Schizosaccharomyces pombe: one gene and its partners. The gene in region 2 interacts genetically with the main gene of each other region. Each region holds a gene or a part of one and is shown on either strand. Other genes may lie near its edges.

Region 1 (6,870 bases), on a different chromosome or scaffold from region 2:
GTTGACAATGGTGATGACAGTGAATGGCTCTGGCCCAACGGTAACTCTCTTGTCCAAACTTATGAGCGTGTCGTTGCTGCCCAAGCTGCCGGAAACACCAATGTTAAGGGTTTCCCCTACGTTCCTAGCCAACAATCCTTTGTCAGTCTTCACTTCAACGATCGCCCTGTCTTCTTTGGTTGTGATGGTCGTAACACCACTGCTGGTAACCACACTGTTACCCGTGACACTCCTCCTTTGGTTATCTATCTTCCCAACGTTCCTTACAACTACTTCACTAACATTTCCACTGATCGCACCTACTACACTGAAGACATGATTCAACAACTTCTTACCAACGGCCTTATTTCCTCTACCGTTGACAATGACACCTACTTTGGTCAATGTTTTGCCTGTGCCGTTGTTAAGCGTACTTTGGAGCGTAACAACATCACTGCTAGCCCCGAGTGCCAACAATGCTACTATAACTACTGCTGGAGCGGTCTTTATGATGACAGCGCTGCTAATGATGATATTGTCTACAATCCTACTTGCCGTCTTGGTGAAGGCATTTAAGGAAAGGCGCATGCAAACTTTTCTCTCTTCAGTATTTATACGACATATCTGTTGCTCACAAGCAAAAGATAGAGGGCAATGCTTATGCCTGGAAAAAAGTTTTTAAAAAAAATCTATACAATGTCTGCTGTCTTAGCATAAATCAAACCTAGCCATATATGTGAATCAATCCAATTACGCGATATGGGTTTTTGTTAACGGATTATTAAACTGAACGTTCACTCCGCTCTAATTAGGGAGACTATTTTGTTATCTTCCGAAAGTATTTTATTCTAATTTACCCTCTCTTCGGAATGTTTTTTGTTCATTTTCTATTGTGAGCTTTCGTTTGCTGTAATTCAGTTTTGTTGACGGCTCCAAATTGGACGTGTTCTAGTTGTTTATGAGAGTTGCTGTTATATATAGTTGCGAAAATAAGTCATTTTTTTAATTCTTGGTTGTAATAAGAATGTTGTTTGTCTATATAAATAAGTTGACTGTAATTTTTTTGTTTTGTTTGATTCAAAAAATTATTATTTATATGTATATATTTTGTATGATAAAATTTGATTTTTAAAGGTTTGCTATACTTGAACAAGGAATAGTGAACTTTAACATACAGCCTATAATTCATTAATTAGGATGAGGAAGGAGATGTAGAAATGAAAAAATTTAGTTAACGTAAAACAGATTATACGATCATTTACAAATTATATCAACTGTACGCAATTTAATCAATGAAGTAGTGGGGATGTAGATGAGACAGTATAGAATACATCACAACGAGTAATGGGAGAAAAAAATTGTAGTAGTTGCGCGGGTTTTGCTCGGCCTCGGGCTTTACTTTCTAATCCGATGACTGTGAGTTACGTGTTTTGCAAAATTATTTAGCAAGTGTGCATTTTATGCTTTAAGTCTAAACGAAATGGGATCCGAGTTAACTTTAAGTTGAGGCTTTGCTTTTGATATAGGTATGCGCATGCGATTTACAAAAATCTAATCGAACAGAAGTAAGTATGTGTGTATGATAATAACATTTTGATAAATAAAGAAAACTGGCTAAACATATATTATGTAGAATTGAAAGAGCATAATTACAAGAAGAAAGACACTTGAAGATATGTTGTGATGTCATTAGATGTAGCGACTTTACAAACATGAAACTATGAGGAAAAAAAGAGTTACTGAGAGAGATTGATGATATTTTATATACACCATGACTCCAAAGATTGAAGGAAGTTAATAAATAAACATTGTGATTCATATTTTAATCAATTATGTAAAATGCGGCCAGTTGTAATGTAATGCGACTAATTTGATGCCAGTAATGTGTGTTAAATAATAGTCAAGGACAATCTGCAAGTTCCTTAGAAAGGTCCGGTTTCGAAGAGGCACACTTAATATCCGAGGGCGGCGCAGTTGAAATAACCAGCCCGGTTGAACGCTACATTCTCCTATACTTAACCTGCAAATGTTTCCGTCGTTAAGGATTTTAGATATATAGCTTAGCAACATTCATCCCAATGTGAACTTTAAAGCAGTCATAGTTGACCAGAAGATGAGCAACAAATTCAACGTAAAGGCTTGCGTCTCAGCGACTGCTCAAAATATAGATTTACACAACAACTTTACATATTAAGCGATATTTAAAGGACCGACAGTCTCGGTCTCTTTTCGCATAGAACGGAAGGGCATTTACATCATGGGGATGTAAATGGACCTTTTTTGATCTACAAAATGGGAATCTAAAAAATCTGTCAAAGATAGACATATGTGTCTCTGCTTACATATATATACATATATATATAGGCTGAATCACTTTCAACTTGCCTTTTCCCAATATTAAAATTATCGCACAAGTCGCTACTTTAGCTACTACTAACTTTTAGGGTAAGAAAGTGTAAGGGGGGATTTGCTTGGAGACTAGGCATGAGCTTGTATTTAATTGGAATAAAAGAAAAAGAATAGGAATTCATGAATTTGTTGAATGAAATTGCAAAACTGCAAGTCATTTGTATGAAACATAAAGCAGATGAATCCCAGGTTTTCGGTTACGATGCGACGTTTGCCGATGAACAGAAATGGTAAATGGTTTCGCATTTGATTCCGCAATACCGCAAACAGAAAATTTTATAAACCATGGAATTGTCAAGCGTTTCGCCAAATTCAAGAGCAAAATCCAGTGTTTATCTTAACATTGAGACGCTATGCTTTTTAATAAAAATCAATAACTTTGGATACTAACTTGTCATTTATTTAGACACAAATTACAATAATCAGATCCTCATATACCGGAGCAGAAATAACAGCACGGTAAGCAGATACAGTGATACAGTAAGAGCTGCGTTGGAATACGGGTGAATTTCAGCTATAAGGAGTTTTAAAATTTTTACGTAGTAGGGCGCTTTTGGTTTAATTTGTTTCACCATCCGTTTACAAATATTCCGTTGTTGTGTTGTTTTCGTTCACAAGAAAATTGTTTGAGGGTATAGTCAATTTTCTAAACTTTTGTGGGTCTAGAGAGACAGTCGTTGATTCCATCGTTTGTTTTGAGCGCGTTTTTGTAACGGCCTTCTAATCTCTGAGTTCAAGCAAAGCGGTGTGTAGATTTTGGCATAATTTCCCAAATTTATTGACCTAAAGACGGTTTAACTATAAAAAAAAAAGACAATGTTATTTAATTGTTTTGGAATACTCGCTCTGCTCCAGATCCTGCCGGCCTTGGCGTACCCGCCTTGTCGCGAGCAAATGTCGGATCCGTATGAGTTTGGGGAATCTGACTTAATGAGACCGGGCATGCATGACACGCCTCTTTCATTAATGCAAAAACGAGAGGCTTTGGCGATTTCGCTTTCCAAGCGCGACAGTGTTGGATCATACGCGCCTTATAATGTAACTTGTCCTAGTGACTATATGCTACGACCTGCTTCTGACGGAATAAGTTCAGGCGAGCAAAGTTTCATTGATAAACGTATCCCCAAAATCAATACACAAATGAGGTCCTTTATTTCCAACACTGGTTTGGACGTAGATGTAAACTCTGTGATTAATGATTCAGATGGCCCTCGTTTAGGACTTGCATTTTCTGGCGGTGGACTCCGCGCTATGGTCCACGGAGGAGGTGTTTTAAATGCTTTCGATTCTCGAAATGGCAATGGTTCTTCACTTGCTGGAATTCTTCAATCCGCCATGTATATCGCTGGTCTTTCTGGTGGTTCATGGCTGGTCGGTTCCGTAGCTGTTAATAACTTTGCCAATATTACTTATCTACGTGACAACGTTTGGAATTTGGAACATAGTGTCTTTGCTCCTCATGGTGACAATGTTGTCGAAAATCTTGCTTATTATGACGACCTGGATGATGAGATTGATCAAAAGAAAGATGCAGGATTCGATACTTCTTTGACCGATCTTTGGGGACGCGCTTTATCTCGTAAGCTTGTCGATGCTACCCAAGGTGGTCCAAATATCACATTTTCTAGCATTAGAAACCAAACTTGGTTCCAAAATGCCGACTATCCTTATCCCATCATTATATCTGACAGTCGTTTGGAAGAGGAAAAAGCTATCCCTGCCAACACCAGTATATTCGAATTTACTCCATACGAGTTTGGTACTTGGGACAATGGTATTAAAGCTTTTCTCCCTATGGAATACGTCGGTACCCATTTAAAGAATGGTGTTCCACCAGACCATAAGTGCATTCGTAACTATGATAATGCCGGTTTTGTTATGGGTACTTCAGCTACATTGTTCAACACGTTTCTGTTAGAATGGAGTCAGGAAGTAACGTCAAATAGTACTCTCTATGATATTATTCATAAAGTATTTGAAAAACTTTCTGAGGATCAAAATGACATCGCTCCTTACCCCAATCCTTATCAGAATTTCACGACTACAAACACCACCGTCAAAAACCCTTTTGAGCGATTCGATACTATTGATTTAGTAGATGGTGGTGAAGACGATGAGAACATTCCTATTTGGCCTTTGTTACATCCTCAAAGATTTGTTGACGTTATATTTGCTGTTGACGCAACTTATGATGATTCTAATGGTTGGCCTGATGGCTCTTCTATTGTTACTACATATGAAAGGATTATAACTTATAACGCCAATAAAAGTGTTGATGTTCGAGGTTTCCCGTATATCCCTGATGAGGACACAATCATTTCCTTGGGACTGAACACTCATCCAACATTCTTTGGATGTGACGGCAGAAACACTACTGCAGGTAATCATACCGTAGATAACAATACACCTCCTCTTCTTGTTTATTTCCCCAATTATCCTTGGGTTTACTATTCCAATATTTCCACGTTTACCATGTCTATGAATGACACTTTGTCCAGTGGCATTCTTGAAAATGCTGCTCTATCGGCTACTCAAAACAACAGCGATTCATTTGCAGTCTGTTTGGCATGCGCCATGATACAACGTTCCTTGGAGCGCAAAAATATGTCTACTCCTAGTCAATGCTCTTCTTGTTTTGAACAATACTGCTGGAATGGAACAACCGTGAACAACCCTAGTGCCGTTTCAAACTATGCTCCTACTGTGTTATCTGCATCAACCACTTCTGGTACCTCTTCTGTACGAGCCAAACCTATAGTATTTTATTTATTTGCTTCGCTTCTAACAGTTTCGTTACTATTATAGACGACGAAAGCCTCCCCCACTCACACACCTTGGTATGAGTCACTTTTCGACTTGAAAGAATTAAAAAGCATAGACTGAGTCAGGCTTTTATTTATTAATTGTAAGGTATTAATCACTACCAAACTTGTGGGGTTCAAAGGTTTTGTAGTTTTAGTGTTAGTGTTAGTGAATTCATTTTAAGTTTTCGAAGCACAATGTTTCTTTTCTCTAATGAAGATGTTTAGTTTAGTTAATTTAGGAAGATCGCTTTTATTTTTAAATATACAGACAATTAATTTTAATAATGATTGTGCAATTTTATAGATATCAAAGCTGTTTTGAATTATAAACCGTCAAAAAAGTCAGTTCCTAAAGGCTTTTTCCCTTGATTTCCCACCTTTTTCTTTTTCTTAGGACTCGAGAATTCAGAGTCGCTGCTGGAATCTTCATCACTATCTAAATTATCAGAGGAGGATGACTCATCTCCTTCCTTCTGATCAACCGGCCAGAAAGCTAGTTCGGTTCCACTACAGGAAACTAAAAAATTGCCTTCGGTAGTAACATCCACAGCGTCTACGGTTGATCGCGAAGAGTGTTGCCCTATAATTCTTTCGTATTTGTTTGGAAGAATGTGTAACAAACGTATACATCCGTCGCTTCCGCCAACATACAGACTGTCAGAATCAGCACGAGTTATTGTTTCTATTGAAAAATCATGGGACCGAATTGGCGATAAAATGCGATCGGTATGATCCCCCCAATCACCCTTTGTAAATAAAGTTATAACTCCACTGGCAGTACCAACAGCAAATTTCTTTTTTGAATGCTGATCCCGTGTAAAAGCTCCACAGGTCATTTCTTCGTCTTGTTCTTCACTCAATATTGGTTTTTTGAAATTACGAGCATCGATTACTGACAAAACTCCATCACCACTAGTAGCAACGAAGTATCGTTCTTCAAATGGGCTAATAGAAGATATATAGTCAATATGATCATTATGGGTATGGATAATGCCTCCCTCGGTGCGCTTATCCCAAACAGAAACACAACCATTATCATCACCTGTAGCAAAGACCATATCATTCTCAATCCATTGAACCACACTATAAGGAGAAATCTCCTTATTCTTATCCACTATCCATTTTGAACTCACTCTCCCCGTTGAGGTATCGGCGATTTTTAAAACACCATCTGAACCTACAGAAATGAATTCGGTACCTGATTCATTTACTGAAATATTTCTGCAGCTTTTTTTATGTCTTTTGGTACTCCATTGCTCGACCAAACTTATTTGTGCGACATCATATTGATAGCTACTAACTCTGCCGTTTGAAAAACCCAGTAACACTTGATTTTCACCGAAACAAGCTAAGTCGAATATTTCATTTTCAAATTTTTGTTTTATAGCAGCATTTATTGTTCCACCCATTAGGTTGTTTAGGACAAGTAGGCTGTGATTAGAGCTGGGCAATCCACCTCTCAGCACCCATTGCCCTGTAGCAAATTTGCATACCCTAGAATCGCGAATACTATTACACTACCAACTTGATATTGTTTTGGAAAATTTACATAAAGCATATAAAATTTTATTTGTACGAACTTCTTGAACTCATTTAAATAATTCAATAGTATTTTTTACTTGGGGATTCTTTATTCAAAGACTTTATTCGAAATCGTTAAACTACGAATTCTTTTAGA
Region 2 (4,977 bases):
CTCACCTAGTATTTCCCATTCTGCAGGAGCTTTTCTGTAAGCTAGACCTTGAGATTTAAAGTGAGTATATTCAGCGCGCCAAATCGTAAATACACGTAAATCCTCATATAAAACCATAAAAAGATTATCTAGCCAGCGCTCACAGAGACGTTTACTCTGAACAGTGGCATTTTTTGGAAGAGAACCAACAGATGTTTCTGGTTTGTCTAAACCAACAACTTCTTCTGCAACGCTTTCTTCTGCAACTTCGTTTTGATCGGGAGAAGCGTTTCCTTCTGTAATATCATTTAAGGATCTATATTCTTCTTCCATCACAAAGACAGCTGAACGAACCCGCAATAGTTCATCCCAACCTATTTTGGCACATATAAGGGTGAGCATTTCATATGCCTTCGCAAATGTACCACGAAGACTGGGAGATGGTAGGCGAGCTAAGTAAGGATCGGTAATTTCGGTAGAAACTGTATAACCGTTCTGCGCATTATTTTCAACTTCCAGTTCTTCTTTAGGAAAATTGACAGGAAATGGTAAATGAGCACGAGCACTAGGAGGCAAAGGATAAGCATCTCTTTCATAGTAAGTATACATGGGACAGGAGTTTAGAGCTAACAACGCTGATTTAAAATCCTCCAAATGCAAGTATACATCAGCCAAACATGCCCAAGTTGCAAATTCTGATGGAGAAGCATGAACGGCGCGCTTAGCACAGATAAGTGCAAGGTCATAGCGCTCTTTTGAAATCAGAAACTTAACTTGAACAATAAGCAAACTAGCGGACATTCTTTGTTTTAGCAATGAATCATGCAAGATACGAACAGCATGCACTTCATGGTCCATTAGTAAGTATAGTTCAGCAAGCAAAACCGATACCTCTGGAATTGACACCCGGAGCTTTTCAAAAAGATTTAGAGCAGCACTGTAGCGGCAGGTTTGCTTCAAGTAAGCGAAAATTCCACGAACCAAATGATTATTTACATGCGTAGGTACCCGAACTTCAGAAGAAGACCCTAGAGTATAACCTAACGTAAAAAGCTGTTCGGCAGCCTCAAAAAATCTTAATTCTGCATCAGGATTTGGAATGGGGTTAAAACGACGATGTCCTGCAAAGCGAGAATTTGTATCATCAGAATAAAGTAACGAACGAAGGACTTCAGACATATATGCTTCTGTCCACATACGAGCATCGACAATATGCTTTTGCCCATTCTCATCAATAGCATATGTGTCAACACCTCCAGGAATTTTAGCTTCCACACGAACATCAACTTGAGAGAAGACATTGTAGCAACAGTAAACTCCGTGACTAACACGCCAAGCGTTTCCCTTCCCAAACCATTGTTGACTTTTATCAAGAGAATAGGAAAGCGTATTTAAATATGCCGCTAGTGAAGCTGAGGAAGAAGCATCAACTCCAGATACAAAGTGATAAGTTCCAACCTTTGACGAGGTTAATAATACGTAAAACGTTAACGTTTCAATAGGAGTGAAAAGTTTGGTAAAGAGAGACTTGTCTTGATCCTTTCCCCACTAATCTCCAACATCATTAACACTACAGCTTTCGCTGCTTTAAAAAGTGACATACCTCTTTTGATGGATTTTTTGCATTAACTTTTATAGTATTGACCTGATCAGGAGGCCCGAGTTCTTTAAATTGTGCGATGGATTTAGAACGCGCATCTAATGACTCGTTTACACGAGTTTCTAAAAACCTATCGTCATTGTTTAGAACTTCAGCTCAATTATATTTAAGGAACTTACTCTGGTATATCCTTAAAGAATGAATCACTCATATATCATAAATTGGAATTAATATGCAAAGCAGCGTTCAATTCGGCCTCGTGGCTGGTTCCAGTTAAGAGGTTATGGTGTAGCCGCAGCCTGACTTGCTGTAACGAAGTGTAGCAAGCGACAATTAGGCAATCGTCCACAATTTCCTTATATATAAAGAATAAATAAATATCATTAAATTATGCATTTAGTGTATTTGAAAACCAAAAAATAATTGAATATTATACATTTTGATTTGTATCTTCATTCATCCTGACAATTGATGATTTAGGGAAGTCAAAAGTAGTACCCAACGAATAGTGTAGCGATAATTTTTTCTTAAGATTACAACTCATTGATTAATACAATTGAAATAAAAATTTCTTGTTGGTGCGGAATCCAACGCAATTAGTATTAAAAAAAAGAACAGCTTTATGTTAGTTTCCACTAAAAGTTAGACCAGTCATACGCACAATGTTAGCTTTAAAAAACTCGCACAATACGCTGGTAAGCATATGATAAATTAATACAATACTTCCAAGCAATTGCGAATGTAAGTTGCTGTGAATTTTTTTCCGAATTTCGAAATCTTTAACGAACCTTTAATGAAACGTCTAAAAGTAGAATCAGGAGTTATTGATTTTTGCATTATATATCTCCTTGACAAGAAATTTTTTGTTTCATCTAGCCATACATTTTGATAGATGTCTCTTGCAATGAACCATTGTTTGTTTAAAATATCCTAAAACCAAATAACATGTGCGAATACGTTATTTAATAGTGCAAAATTCTACAAAGAAAGAATCGAAATTTATGCTTAAGCCATTCATGTTAACGCTCATCAAGAAAGCTAATTTGACTAAATACAATCAATGGAGAGTGCTAGTATACATTGCTTGTTTTAACTGACATTTTTAAATTAACTACGATAAGTGTTAAGATTAAACAAAGTGAGAAACGTAACAGTGCTTAAGTTCAGTTTTCTTGCGAATGTATTGAATTACTTTCACTTGCCCAGCTAGTAAACAATTAAGGCTTTGGTACCGCTTTGTCCTTCTAATAAATTATGGTTAGTAGCGAAAATAACCAGCCTTTTGACTGATGAGAGGTATATATTCATTTGTCAATTCAAATTAATACGGCCTTTTGAATATTTATTTACTGAATAGTGTTGATTAATAAAAAGGCAATCTGTATAGCGATGAATCGTTAGCATCACCAAAGTCATTTTAATCAAACTGCGCTATATTTTACTAAGAAAAGCACGTTACCAATGTTAGATTAACGAATGTACATATTGAACTCAATAAATGTGTCCGACCCTTACCGAACGGGGTTTCAAGAGAGTGTCATGGATTTTAAGTTACCGTTCCCCCATCTCTGTACGATTTAGCAATTCATTGAGAAAATGGCTTTTGCTTGGAAGAAAAACTTTAGGTATGGATTCATTTCTTGAATGTGAACATTAAATATACCCTGATAGTTTTACTAATGAATGAATATTTGTAGTTATAGCAAATATGCTTCTATTTGTTCCCAAACTGTTCGTCAAGCCTTAAAACCGGAAATTAAAAACGAGGTTAAAACTCATGGTGATGCAGAGTTCCTTTATACTCGATGGAAAAATGGCGCTCAGGAAAAAACGGAGTCTTACAATTCGGCAAAGTCTGCTGATAAGGAATGAAAATAAAGGCTACAAACGAATTTTTTGTCCTTCATTACCCATTGGTAATATTTCAGCTTCATTTGATGTTTCACTCATTTCAACAGATATCACTGATGGTTTACAATCTCTTATAATGATTACTATATTCGACTTAACGTTGAATTACTAACTGATCCTTTCAATAAATTTTTATTACTTTTTTTAATGATGAAGTTTAATAGAACAAGGTAGTTTGCTCTGTTTTCTTAAAACTGTTGAGAATGGCACTTCAAATCATTGTGGTTGCTCTGTATTTTCGATCAAATCTATAATCGGCCTTTGTCTCAAAACCAAAAATTGTTGATTTTACTATAATGAGATGTAGCTAATTTAGAAGTAAGTGAGTTTTGTCACTAATATCATTCATTAACGTAGTTTTTGTTTTTGCTACTACCGAGATCATTTATAGTCGCATTACACAGTAAACTTACTACAATACTATGTTCTTAATTGTTTGTATCGTTATCTAGTTTCTAAAAAATGGCTTCAACGTCGAACAAAATTGCTTGTTCTACTGTTTTCAAACAATCATGCAAACTCACCCATTAAAAAATTTTTAATTGTATGAATACAATTTTAGAGCCCGAATGAAAGAAACAGGGTATACATACGAAATCGCATTACATTCAAAACAAACTCCACTTGATGCCTTGTACTCTTTCTCTTCTTGCAAGGATATAGTGTATCGTTTAACTTCGCTATTTAGTGACTACTTGGGTCTCTAGATATGCCACTAAAGACGTGTTTGAGACCTGTCTGCACCTGTCTATGTTGGCGTTTGTAGTCGAAGGCAACGTGCGGTATTAACGATGCAGAAAATCAACACACTCTTCTTTTTGAAAACCACGAACTAAATACGTTACACAGCAAAGACAAAAGTCACCACTTACGCTTTCTTAACGACATCAAAGAAATTACTAAACTACTTTGATAAAGTCTGTAGTAAGAGAAGAGTTACAAAACAATATCCTTATGATAAACATCCCTTAAAACTATAAAAGTTTGCTTTTGATTGCAATTCATAATCTGTTCCTACTTAAAAAAGTAGTCGTCACCCAAGTTCAAAAGTTTGTTCAGTGCATCAAAACATTAAAGAACCAGCCTTAAATTGCCTTGGGAATTAGTGAATTCATACCGATTTTATGACTTAATATAAACATCTGTAAACGCACTGATTGATTTCCTGAGGTTTTGTTTGCGTTGGGAGTTTTTAATTTTTTTTTTGTTATTAGCACTTATTTTAATTATCTTTGCTTTTTGAAGGTGTGTAGAGAGCTGAAATCTGAATTTAGGACGCTCAATAGCTTGATCTTCCAATGCAGGCTTATTGCTCAATGCTTTTGCGGAGTATAGTATTGAAAACCACAGTTGTTTGACGCTTTTTGTAATACATCGCTTCCTTTATCTACAACTTTAACATCTTATCTACATACTTTTTTCAATTTCTGGTTACAGTTTTATACAGTGATCAATTTGGAAGTCTCATATTAAGGTTATGGCAACGT
Region 3 (6,756 bases), on a different chromosome or scaffold from region 2:
AAATCCCTTGTTATTGAACTGCAAGCATGCTTGTTGCGGAGATTGTTTGTCAGAACATATTCAGTATCAAAAAAGAAGAAACATAATTCCTCCGCTTTGTCATACATGTCGTCAACCCTTCAATGAGCAAGATGTCTATAAACCTTTTTTTGTCAAAAATAACGGAACACAGTCTACGCTTTTAGTCGGTGAGGAAGTAAAATGGAAATATTGGAATAGGCTACAATCAGTGAAACTTAATGGCCTTTTAGGACAATTGCGTCAATTAACTCATAGTTCTGAACCTGAAAAGGTCGTTATCTTTTCACAGTTTACCACATTCCTGGATATTATCGCAGACGTTCTCGAGTCAGAGAAGATGGGGTATGCTAGATTCGATGGTACCATGTCACAACAAATGAGGTCGACGGCTTTAGAGACATTTCGAAATGATCCTGATGTTAACGTGCTGATTATCTCTTTAAAGGCAGGCGGGGTTGGTTTAAACCTTACTTGTGCCAACCATGTTTTTATTATGGATCCATGGTGGAGCTGGTCAGTGGAAGCACAGGCCATCGATCGTATTCATCGTTTAGGACAGGAAAAGCCTGTATTTGTGACGAGATATATTGTACGTGATACTGTTGAGGAAAGGATGCTCAAAATACAAGAACGCAAAAATTTTATTACTGGGACCCTGGGCATGTCGGAAGGAAAGCAGCAGGTTCAGTCAATTGAAGACATCAAAATGTTGTTTGAATATTAACAACGGTTTCACCAAGCCGATTAAAAGCTATCGTAAAAAAAAAGTATTTTCATATTATGCATATGAAATGCAATTGCTACCGTGGTCGTTGTCATGACTGTCAAATTCTAAGAGAGTATGTGATAAACAAACTGCGTTACAAGATAAATTATAAACTATCTACACCCCTTGGATTTGTTGATTCACGTCTATCACTAATGAATGCGAAATAGTCGAATTCGGTGCATAAGTAACAAAAGTATTAAGGAACGACAGTTTACCCTGGAGCTATACAATCTAAAGTAGTGAATGTGTAATACTTTATTCCATTTTTTGAACTCATAAATTTCCTTGGATGACTTACTTTTTTGTATTCATGATGTTGTTGCTGAGTATCATGGGCAAGGGAATATAAGTTTTAGCTGCTGCAGTGTAAAGGCTGGCTAATGTTTTGTTCAGTATATTAGAGATAGGTATAATTGTTAACTTTTATTCGATTTTTTTATTATTGTTAACCTTGTTAAATAGTAGTAGCGATTGTGATGGAAATCCGGTCACAGAAAGAAAGCGATGTGTATAATTCAACTATATTGGTCAGCCTCTCTCTTTGTTGAAAAGTCGAAGTAGTTGTTTAATAAGGTCAAGATATTTTGATGAAATCAGTGACACAAAATTAAATCCGAATATTTTAGCTAAGTTTTCATTCCATAAATTTCATTTTTCTAATAGCTACCCGTAGAAAGTTTTATAAGCAAGTAACGTGCCGGTTGCTGGGTTATAAAAATTTAGGCAAGGTTACGGTTGTCTCTACCATCGGCAAAGGAGCCGACGTTAATAAAATATTTAACAAAGCCTTTAAAAAATTAACGATAGCTAGTCAAAGGAAGCTTAACGCGTATTCAGCCTCATTAAGACAATCAGGAAGCTTTTTTTTACCATCAGCATATACCTCTAACCCTTTGATTTATTTTTATATCTCGAGATTTCGTTCGTTATTTTATAGGTCGTTTCGATAAGACCTTAATACAATCTGATTTAGTGGTTGTTTAAGATTTCGGAAAAGCCTTTTTTTCAAAAAAAGTTTTCCAGTTATTGTTTCATTATTTCTAATTGATTTACTGAAGAATTGTTATAACCTAAAGATGGCACTTATGTTATCCAGGATTCCACGTCGTTTTTTTTTCTTATTTTTAACGGTCGGCTTGATTGCTGGCGCGTTTCTATACTCGTTGATATATTTTGTGGACGTTGATTTGGTGTCGAAGGTTAACCAGTTGTATGATCAGCAAATTGCACCCATGCTCTCCGATGCTATTGGCACTCCATCCGTTAATCACTCGTTTGAGTTGGCGCCGTTAGACTCTCATTTGGTGGCCACAAGCACTACATTCCACGAGGCGTCATACGAGTCAGAGCCTCAGCAAAATCCTGCCAGTCAAAATATTGTCTTATTACTAGTTAGTGATGGACACACTTCTTACAATAATGGAGCTAATACGTTTGAAGAAGCTATACAGAACAGAGTTGACTATAGTACCAAACAAAACTACAACTTTGAGTATGTCAATGTTACTGGCCTCCCTATTCCCGCCGTTTGGTCCAAGATGCCCGCCGTCTTACAAACTATGAAGAAATACCCCAAAGCGGAATGGATCTGGTTGTTGGATCAGGATGCAATTATTACTAATACCCATCTTTCCCTTCAAGACTCCTTTTTGAAACCTGAGAACTTGCAAAAGACCTTAATTACTAATACCATCCTCACTAAACGGCCTATAAATGCTAACGGGGATTTGCGTTATACACCAAGTAATTATAGTTTAAAAGATATCGAAAATCTCATGGTCATAATCTCACAGGATCACAATGGATTAAACGCAGGTAGTATCTTGTTCCGTAATTCACCTGCTACTGCCTTGTTTTTGGATATTTGGACAGATCCTGTTGTTGCAGAATGTGCGAAAGCCAATAATGAACAAGACATGCTTGGATATTTGATTTCTAAGCATTCACAACTTGCTTCGCTGGTTGGCCTTATTCCTCAAAGAAAAATAAATGCTTTTCACGAAGGTCCGGAAAATATGGAATGGCAAAAAGGTGATTTGGTAATTCACTTTGCTGGATGTTGGGTTGAAAACCGCTGCGATGAACTATGGCAAAAGTTTTACGCCTTGATTGACTAAGTTGCTTATTCATTATATCCGTCTGTTTAATTTGTTTGTGTTTTAAAAAATTTTATATATATAAACAAAGCGCCGTATAATTTTCCGTCAATCTTCCTTTCTTTATCTGAATCTCTAATAATGTTTACTATTTTTTAATCTTTACATACCTAATTAATATAGCGGTTGTGCCATAGCAATCAAAGTTTCAGGTTAGTTTTTTATAGCGAGATATCTGGGAGTTTTGTTTTACACAATCGTCCATCAATAATTGTTATATATTGTATATATTTCACATTGACTTTGAAGCTGTTTCTGTTGGTTCAACTAATTTGCTTTGGCAATTTACCAATGCAATATTGAAGATTGGAATAACAGTTTGGCGTTAATAAATCTTTTTAATAATTTGCATTTCACCGCAGCTGCCATTTTCTGTTAAATGCTGATAGAAGTTTTATTGAATCATTCGTGTCGGATTATACTAAGTTTTTATTTATCTTGTTTTTTGGCCCTACAAAGTATTGGTATGTCCTTATTTTATATTGATTACACTGGCTTTTGGCCTTATAAAGATATAGATTAGTTGCTAAGTCTAAAAGATGTATTTTTTAACGGTGGTTCCATTACGTCTGTGCACCCACTGTTTACACTTGTGTCTTTACAAACCTAGAAGCATTTTCCGATTAATGAGGTCTATCAGGTCAAGGAGAAAGAATATTTGAATAGATTTATCGACAAAATATATTTCGTTAAATTTACACAATATTTACTTTACCAATAAGCTAAATGGTATTTCCAATACTTTTCCAGCTAACAGTCAGATTTTTCACTGTTTGAAACAACTTCACCAAATTAATTCATTAGTGTCAATTTCTATTACATGCTTAAGCTCATAATTTTCAACATCCAGATAGCTCGAAAGTTGACACCATTACACACAAACTAAGATGATTGTGAAAAAACAAAGCGTTAGGATTTGTAAAAGGCAATTCCACAATTTGAATTACAATACTGTAACTGAATATAGCGCGGCACATGGTACAAACAACGTGCTGGTAATAAATTGACAAATGCAGAGCAACCCGCGTGATGAAACATAAATCTCGGATATTTTTTCTTTAAAGGGTTGTTAACGCAAGTCGTTTAAGGGTAAAAGAAATAAATAAATTTTAGAGGGTAACATCCTCATAAAGGGAGTCATCTTTAGAGCCTTTTTTCATTTTTTTAAGGCTTTCGAAAATTTCACGTGTCTCAAATTCTATTGTTTCAGCGGTTCGTTGAATTAATCTCTTATCATGTCTCGAATTTCACTTTCAAATTTTTTATCTCTTCCGCGTTACAAATTCCTGTTGTTTTCTGTGGTTTTGATTATTGTGATGACAACCTTAGTGTTTAACGGACACGATTATAAGCAAACCCTTAATGACCGGCTTACTTCATTAAAAAACAACTTTGTTGAGGAAAATGATAATGCCGTCTTAAAAGAAGAGCCTGGCAAATATACGTATATGAGTTTGTTTACTATGCCTTCTACTGAAGAGGATTACTACTTCAACGCTACTAGGGTTTTAATTCACCGATTGAAATATCATCCTACTACCAAAAGTAAATACCCTATCCATATCCTTGCACTCCGTGGAGTAGATGAGTGGAAAATTGAACGTTTTCGAAAGGATGGTGCTTCTGTGATTGTTATAGACCCCATTGCTTCATCGGATATTGTATACGATACATCCTCATTTAGTCAAGAAATATCTGCTAGATATGAACAAATGTTTTCGAAGTTGCGAATTTTCGAACAAATACAATTTGACAAAATTTGCGTAATTGACAGTGATATATTGATCATGAAGAACATTGATGATATATTTGATACTCCTTATATGTACCAACAAATTAATACCTTGAACTATACACGGCTACCTTCCTACACGAAGCCTGATGATGATACCGTCTATCACTTCAATGAGGATTTTAAAGAATATGGTGCCAGTCGAAGCGAATTTTACCCTTATCTTCTCGCAGCCGTCTCTGATAGAGGAGAGCATCATAGTATACCTCCAGAAGATACTCCTTATTTCAATGCTGGCTTAATGCTTATACGTCCAAGCGAGCTTCATTTTAACCGTATACTTAAAATCGGAAGGTTTCCTTATATGTATGAGAATGCCAAAATGATGGAGCAAAGCTTGTTGAATCTTGCATTTTCCTTGGACGGATGGTTTCCCTGGACTCGTCTTGATCCTTATTACAATGGCGTGTGGCCCTCAATTGACGAACGTCCTCTCTTAAAAACAGCACACGGAAAATTCTGGAATATTGGTAGCTCAGAATTTGCACCAGTATATTTAGCTGACTGGTATGCTGCTTATGGCGAAATGCTGTCTTTTCATAAGTATGAAACTCATTAAAGGAGGAATACCTTTCTTTTTTCTGTATTGTGACCTTATTTTACAATTAGAAGTTAAAATCTAATTGTATGTTATATATTTGAAAATTTCTTTAACTTATTACCATAATTTTATTTTAGACTTGCTATCCTTATTGTCTAAACGCACATTGTTTAGATCTCTTCAGCTTTCTTTGATTGCTGGCTATGTATACAACTTTATTACCTGCGTCTGTCTATAAATCCCGTTAGCGGTGATTTGCTTTCGGTCAGCCTATTTTTAGAATATAATTTTGGACTTGCGGTTGATTTTAATATACCTCTCATCTCTCCTTCATTATGGACTCATTAGACCTTATGAACAAACCCCAATTTTAATTATTATCACAAGCGTTTAGCAATTTTTGATGCTTAAACTAGCCTGAGGTCCAAACAGGATAGTTTAATTAGTGTTAGACATTAATATTTTTTAGAAAAAGATACTTTATGTCTAGAGGGTTGTTTTTGAAGCATTTTATAGAATTTATTCTTTTTTAAGAAAATTAATTAGATTTGTAAAAATGTGCAGCTTCATAATTATTTATGGAGCGAATCATTTATGTTTAAATAAGACGGCATTAATATAACGAAGTAAAAGATAAATAGTAATAATAAATTAACTGTAAATGCAATTGAAAATGTTAGAGGCTATAACGCGCCGACACTTGGGCATTGATTTAGCCTTTTAAATTATTTTATCTTTGTATTTAGTCCATAACTCGGCGCATTTGTTTTCAACCCAACATCCAGCGAAATGAAGAGCTAGATCTCCTTCTTGCCATTGCATTGTAGGGGGTCCTTCATGAAAAGCATTGATAAATCTTTGAGGAAGAATGCCAACCATGGAAGCTACCTGCGAGTGTTTTTGAATGAAATAGCCGATCAAATCTTGTTCATGACGCACGACTCCTGCATCTGCCAAAGAAGGATCAGTCAATAAATCCATTAGTAAAGCGATGGATCTTGAATTTCGTACTAAAAAGCTTCCTGCATTCAATCCGTTATGATCCTGAGAAATTAGAAATTGTATTTGTTCTATCATTTCCTTGGAGTAAGCCGCTGGAGTGATTCTGAAATTATCTTCTCCGAAAGAGTTTATAATTGGTTGCTCCCTAAGCAATGATTTTTGGAGCATTGCAGGTGAGAGAAATAATTCCTGTAAGGACAGATTTTTGTTCATTATAAGAGCATCCTGATCTAGCCACCAGATCCATTTTGCGGATGGATACTTGCGCATTGTTTGTAGAATTGCGGGCATCTTTCCCCATACAGGTGGCACTACCAGACTGGAAACGTTAACGAATTCAAAATTGTAGTTTTGAAGTTTCGCATACTCTATACGATTTTTAAAGCAATCATCTAGTAAGTTAGATTCAAAACTTCCAACGTTTCCATCGCTAGCAAGAAGCATTACTATTTCATGTGATTTTGGTTCATTGAGA
Region 4 (6,014 bases), 3.6 Mb from region 2:
AGTATTGTTATTGTTATTATACACAGCTGTATTAACGCTTGTGGCTCCTGGAGGAGGAGCAAGTTTCAGATTTTCGACTGGTGGTTCCCATTGGGGCTGTGGATTTTGAGCTGACTCGTTAACATAAAAGTATGTTCCATATTCAGCATCCCATTGAGCAACCCATCCACTGGGCAAACCTTCACGAGTTTGATAGACAGACATTTTTTATATGATTAATTCTGTAAAGACACAGAGTAAAAACCTATATAAACGATATAGAGGCTTAGAAAGATTCTAACCAAAGAAAAGAAAAATGTTATAGGCAGATATTCAAAAATCACTCTCTAAGATCTATATACTTAATTTTTCGAGTATTAAAGATAGAAAGTTTTGGTGGTAAGCTGTATCTGTTAGGGAAAAGGAGAAATCGCGCAGTGGTATAGAACGATTATAAAAGAAATGAAAATCTGATACGCTACAGATCATTACATAAGAGGCTGATGTAGTGGTAGTAGCATTATGCAAATTTCGTTATTTTACTATATCGTGATTGCCCCAAACCATAATTCGTCATTCCTAGTTTACGAATTTACGAGTTCCATTAAAGTGGTATTAACGTGTTTTTAAAAGTACTTCACTAATTATCGAAAGCTGTTCATGGAAAATAGACTGCCAATTTGTTTTATTCAAACTCAGAATATCAGGGTTTCACTAATGCTGCTTGACTTGAAACATAGCTAATTGAAAAAGGAAAATTGCTCTTATTACCCTTTTTAATCGCCGGCTTTGCTTAAAAACAAACGGTTTTGCATTGCTATGAAAACCCTCGACATTCATTTGATAATTGCCAGGTACAAATTTACGTATCCTTACTGAATAATCGTAATATGAACAAATAAATGTTGTACCGTAGATAATATTTCTTAATTTTGAAATATATTAACTTTTCTTATTTCATTATGTGTATCCAAGAGCCAAGTTATATTTCTCTTATTTTAAACAGCTTGATAAATACAGGTTTTAAACGATTCAAATGATATCTGTTTGTCTTTTAAAATAGTGGTATGACATCCCATAAGTGTAAAAAAAATTTTTTTTCTTTCTGCCTTAATTTTTTCGGAATTGTGCATTTAATCCAAAACCAAACAAATATCTGAGTTTGCCAATTATATAGTCAGTAATACACCACTATAAACTATTCAACTAAAATACCCAAAAAAAAAGGACAACTAGTAATGAAAAAACAATGATAATAATAAATGAAAGATATATAATTGACTATTTTAAATCATGCATAATAAACTAATTTAACGTCTGAAAAAACAACCATTGATTTTTTAAAAGTTTCAAAAATTGTGCTTCACCCAATTTTTTACAATTAACCAAAAAAAAATATAAATAAATAAGTAAATACACGTCGAAGTGATAAATGCCAAAAAAATGATTCCATCGACAACCAACTCCGTCGATATTCACACCCATTATAATATATGCTCCTTACTTCTTTGGTATTAAACAGAAATTTTATAAATTAGACCGTTTTCCTCGAAATCCCAATAAAGAATGCAATGGTACAATAAATAAGGAAGCTTGAAACAAGTAAAGATCAGATGATAACAAAATTAATATAAGTAAACAAGAAATTAGGTCAAAGAACGACTAACAGAATATAACAATTTTAGAACGATTAGCAAAAATAGTATGAAATTTCAAGGGAATAAAAAGAACTTCACTGGATATCGTGTTTTCCATTTAACAATTTCGAAAGAGTCGTATACGTGAATTTGGTGATTCTATTCAAAGGAGAAAGTGATGTTCTCAAAAAAAAAGAGCGATTCCATAATCAACGACCATAGTATGTAGGACGAAATCGGAACCAAATTTAAATAAAAATCAACGCTTTTCATCTGCGGCCACGTCCACCACGTCCACCCATGCGTCCACCACCGCGGCCGCCGAAACCACCGTGAGGACCATGAAGTGGGCCATGATGGCCACCACCGATTCTTGGACCAAACAAAGGGCCTCTGGGAGGAGGAGGGGCGTAGTAAGCACGGTGACCACGAAGAACACTGCCGGCTAAAGCTCCAACCATGAAACCTCCTAATCCAGCCGTCATAGACCGTGAGCCGTCAGAAGAGCGAGGCACGTCCTTTTGATAGACGACGGTAGTGGTACCGGGAGGAGGAGGAATATGCAAGCCTGGAATAGGAGGCTCCCACTGTGGTTGAGCACCTTCAAACGTTTCATTAATGTAAAAGTAAGCTTGATAAGTTGGATCCCATTGGGCGACCCAACCAGCTGGCAAGCCCTTGTAAGTTTGATAAACAGACATCTTTCGATAAAGTAATTAATGAGAAACTGTAACTTAGAAAAAAAGAAGTAGTGAGAAGTAGAGTATGTCTGTTAAGAATTATTAATAGACAGGCACAAATGTCAAAAGAAAAAAAGAATTAGCAGCGAAGTAGAAACGGTATGTATAACAAGAAAGAATTTATGATCTCGTTATAGTAAGAATGAAGAAAAGATTAGAATAACGAATGCTTTGAAAATGAAGCAAGTAAAAAAAATGATTGATTGAAATTAGATTGACGAAAAGGTGAGGAAAACTCGCAAATAAATAAAGCTTTGCATTAGGACATAGCCGACGGACAATACGTCACTTTTGTGGGGAAATGATGAGTTATTGCGTAGTTGTAGTGTGGAAGCGAGTGCGATTTGAACTCTTTTTCTTCCATCGGAATAGAAAACATATGAGCGGGGCCGAAAGCTGCCGCAATCTATTTTGCGATTGTGTACCCGATATCCTAACAGCAAAGCAGTGAATTGGAAGATGAATTTACTACAATATCTGTAGTGTCTTTTAGTTACATTCAGAAAAGAAATTGATACGAAAATGTGCACGCTAAAAGCTCAAACCCATGTATACTTATGATCTTCCAATTGTACAAATTATTGCTATTTTCGCTAGTCTATAGATCGATCAGCCATTGACGTCAGCGCTCGTTTAGTATTTGAAAACAAACGCCAAGTTAGGTGTTTGTTTATTAATGTGTTTCTTTGGGTATATGAGTGTATGAAAATTCGACTCAAGCTCCTGTTAACACTTGATCTTTCTTTTGAATCGCGAATAGCATTGACTCCGATATCTCGGTTCAATTTTTTTGAGTAAATAGTAAACGTACGTTTCATAAAACTAACTTTAACAAAAAATTATCTACTTAGTGAATTAGTTCTCACTTGGATAAATACTTGTTTTTGTCAAGCTTTTAGCATGGTCAATTGATATCAAAAGGAACTCACTCCAAAAAAAATCGACCCCACTTGGGTCCATGAACCTCTCTTGTCTTGCATCTCTCAAGGACTGGATGGATGTGGGGGTTCGGGGAATCAAGAGTTTTCAATGGAGTAAGTGCAATCAAATAAATCAAAGCGACAAAGGATTAGAGCGAGGAGACGAGAAAAGATGGAAATACAATGAGTAAATTCGTATTAAAATTGATATCGTTTTAACGAAGGAAAAGAGAAAGTTACTCTACGTAGGTTTGCAAAAAAAAAATATATAAATGTAGATGTAGATGTAAAATTAATGTTAATGAGAAATTTGAAATTAAGGAAGCATAAATAGTATGGAGACATTATAGTTAATATGGACGATGAGTTAAAAGGAATAATTGGTTTAAGTGAAGCTAAAGAAAAATAAAAATAAAAAAATAAAAAGATGTCATTTAATATTAAATTTAAAAAAGACAACACACACATAAGAACTATTCAATAAAATAAAATAAACACAGTACAATAAAATAAAATAAATAACGATCTAACGAAACAGGAAAAAAAAAAAAAAATAATATATTACAAACAAAAAACAATCTCAAAAAGCTATCTTATAATTTGAGTATCCTAACCATAATATTTATTAACTCATATGTAAGTTTATCTTGGTAGAAGCTTTACCTTTAAGAATTGACTTCATTCCTACTCGCATCGCATTTGTTGCTTCTATTTTAGAGATAAAAGCTCTTTTAATTGAACTTATGCTTTTACCAACACGGCACGTGAATCAAGTTAGAATAATAGTCTAAATGTCCACAAAGGGTGGTTTCTCGTTCTATGAATAAATATAGTAGTAGCTTAGTGAAAATTCCACGGGACATTAGTTTATATAAGAATAAAAGTGAATGTATGAAAATTACATGTGAAGAATAAATTTGTGGTAAAATACACGTCTTTTAAAATATAGCTAATAGCACACATATTTTGAAGCATGCTTTATATCCTGCTCTTTCAATGCAAGGTTATTATCCCATTCTGAAGCCACATACCATCAACCCACGAAAAATCTCGTTAAATAAACAACACCAAATTTCCTTATTGCTAATAGGAAGGGCGGGATGAAAACAATCAACCTCAAAAATTTCTCCCTCTCTTTAATTACCTGGATGACCAGTCATTATAGAACGAATTTATTTTCTCCACTTCTTTCTATATCTTAAGGTTCATTTCTCCTCCTACTAACTACTCCATCCACCCACCCACCTTTAGCACTTCCCAATCATCTACGTCACAAAGCATTAGTACTCATCATCGAATTTCACAATTTCTGATTTTCGTTGCTGCATTCCAGCACACTACACTGCGCCATTTAGCTGTATAAGCCATGTTATGTTGATTCTGAGTTAACACAGGTAAGAAGACACATAAAGCCCACTTTAAACTTGAACTTGTATTCGTGTGCTCTAAAACGTACAACACTATACCAAAGCAGCACGAGAAAACAAGTTCAAGTTTAAAGAGACATAATAACACCTACAGCTACACAATGGCGATCAATCATACACAATTGCTAGACATCAAATCATAGGCAATTGGGGTCGATCTTATGTAATTGCTGTGGGTATGCAATTGAGGTCGGTGATGAAAGCAGCGGTCATGCTCGCCTCTCAATCCTTTACGAATGTATTAAGGGAGTGCCATGCCATGCCATGCCATTTTCTCAGTCACGTAAACCTCGATACGATACAAGCTCTAACCTTCCCATCCCGTATTTACGTTTTTGCAGTATTATAGGAAAGATGAATAGGGTGGAATGAGTCCGCTCTAGCAATCGTTTGGTAAGCCGGCTTCGTTGAATTGCAGTATGTCATTTGTTTAGCAGGCTGAAACAGCATTGCCCTGTAGTTTTCATTGCAAGCCCCTCGTTTTTTGAAGATTAGGTTTATCGTGTATGCATTTTTAATTAAGCGGATCACTCAGGTGGGCGTATGAAATAGGGATTTGCCATAGTTGTCCATTCAACTAAAGATTAGATTGTTAAAAGGCTTATGATTCGCGGAACTAAACATAGCGAATACTTCATATGCTGGCAAAACGTTGTTTACATGGGAAATACATGGCGCTTCCATCATGGCTCGTTGATTTTTGTAAATATATAAATAGTGGCGGGCAGCAGTCAAGGTGAAACGTTTGTTAGGATTTTTTTTGTTTACACTGGAGAGAGACAACACAACTCATTATTAATTTTTTCATCTTCGTCTCTCTCGTCTCTTATTATATCATCTCATCTCACCACTCGGTTTCTAGCCCAACTTAACTCAGCTCAACTCAGTTCTACTTAGAACCGATTTGCTCCTCTTTCTTAAAAACTTACTTCAGCTAGGATTCACCTGGCCAGCTTATTCAACTTCATTCCCCGTTTCTTGTTGATTCAGGTTTCGTTTACTCCATCATGAAAAAAGATCTCGACGAAATCGACACTGACATTGTCACACTTTCCTCCTTTATTTTGCAGGAACAGCGCCGATACAATCAGAAGCATAAAAATGAAGAAGGAAAACCTTGCATTATTCAAGAGGCTAGTGGGGAATTGTCATTACTGCTAAACAGTTTACAATTCAGCTTCAAATTCATCGCCAACACCATTCGTAAAGCAGAGTTGGTAAATCTCATTGGTTTATCGGGAATCGTCAATTCCACTGGCGATGAACAAAAGAAGCTAGATAAAATTTGCAATGATATCTTCATTACTGCGA

What was found.
Region 1: mutations in atp15 (region 2) and plb3 together harm fitness more than expected from each alone (negative genetic interaction), as found in Schizosaccharomyces pombe (one large-scale study listed by BioGRID).
Region 3: mutations in atp15 (region 2) and gmh2 together harm fitness more than expected from each alone (negative genetic interaction), as found in Schizosaccharomyces pombe (one large-scale study listed by BioGRID).
Region 4: mutations in atp15 (region 2) and wwm3 together harm fitness more than expected from each alone (negative genetic interaction), as found in Schizosaccharomyces pombe (one large-scale study listed by BioGRID).

Annotation. Positions count from the first base shown.
Region 1 is NC_003424.3:1,068,462-1,075,331, reverse strand, and holds plb3 (lysophospholipase Plb3), read left to right. Parts: upstream 1-2,969; 5' UTR 2,970-3,204; coding exon 3,205-5,193; 3' UTR 5,194-5,409; downstream 5,410-6,870. Other genes in the region: plb1 (lysophospholipase 1), read left to right, coding at 1-555; SPOM_SPAC1A6.11 (uncharacterized protein), read right to left, coding at 1,478-1,798; wdr55 (WD repeat-containing protein), read right to left, coding at 5,516-6,601.
Region 2 is NC_003423.3:3,782,661-3,787,637, reverse strand, and holds atp15 (F0-ATPase epsilon subunit Atp15), read left to right. Parts: upstream 1-3,135; 5' UTR 3,136-3,175; coding exon 3,176-3,204; intron 3,205-3,276; coding exon 3,277-3,451; 3' UTR 3,452-3,782; downstream 3,783-4,977. Other genes in the region: bch1 (ChAPs family protein), read right to left, coding at 1-1,437, 1,583-1,709, 1,759-1,790; histone chaperone Hip3, read left to right, coding at 4,968-4,977. UniProt on the Schizosaccharomyces pombe protein: Mitochondrial membrane ATP synthase (F(1)F(0) ATP synthase or Complex V) produces ATP from ADP in the presence of a proton gradient across the membrane which is generated by electron transport complexes of the respiratory chain.
Region 3 is NC_003424.3:164,961-171,716, reverse strand, and holds gmh2 (alpha-1,2-galactosyltransferase Gmh2), read left to right. Parts: upstream 1-1,661; 5' UTR 1,662-1,866; coding exon 1,867-2,907; 3' UTR 2,908-3,951; downstream 3,952-6,756. Other genes in the region: ATP-dependent chromatin remodeller/ubiquitin-protein ligase E3 Rad8, read left to right, coding at 1-745; alpha-1,3-galactosyltransferase Otg1, read left to right, coding at 4,182-5,297; alpha-1,2-galactosyltransferase Gmh1, read right to left, coding at 6,000-6,756.
Region 4 is NC_003423.3:198,839-204,852, reverse strand, and holds wwm3 (protein wwm3), read right to left. Parts: upstream 2,573-6,014; 5' UTR 2,318-2,572; coding exon 1,886-2,317; 3' UTR 1,230-1,885; downstream 1-1,229. Other genes in the region: protein wwm2, read right to left, coding at 1-204; fructose-1,6-bisphosphatase Fbp1, read left to right, coding at 5,711-6,014.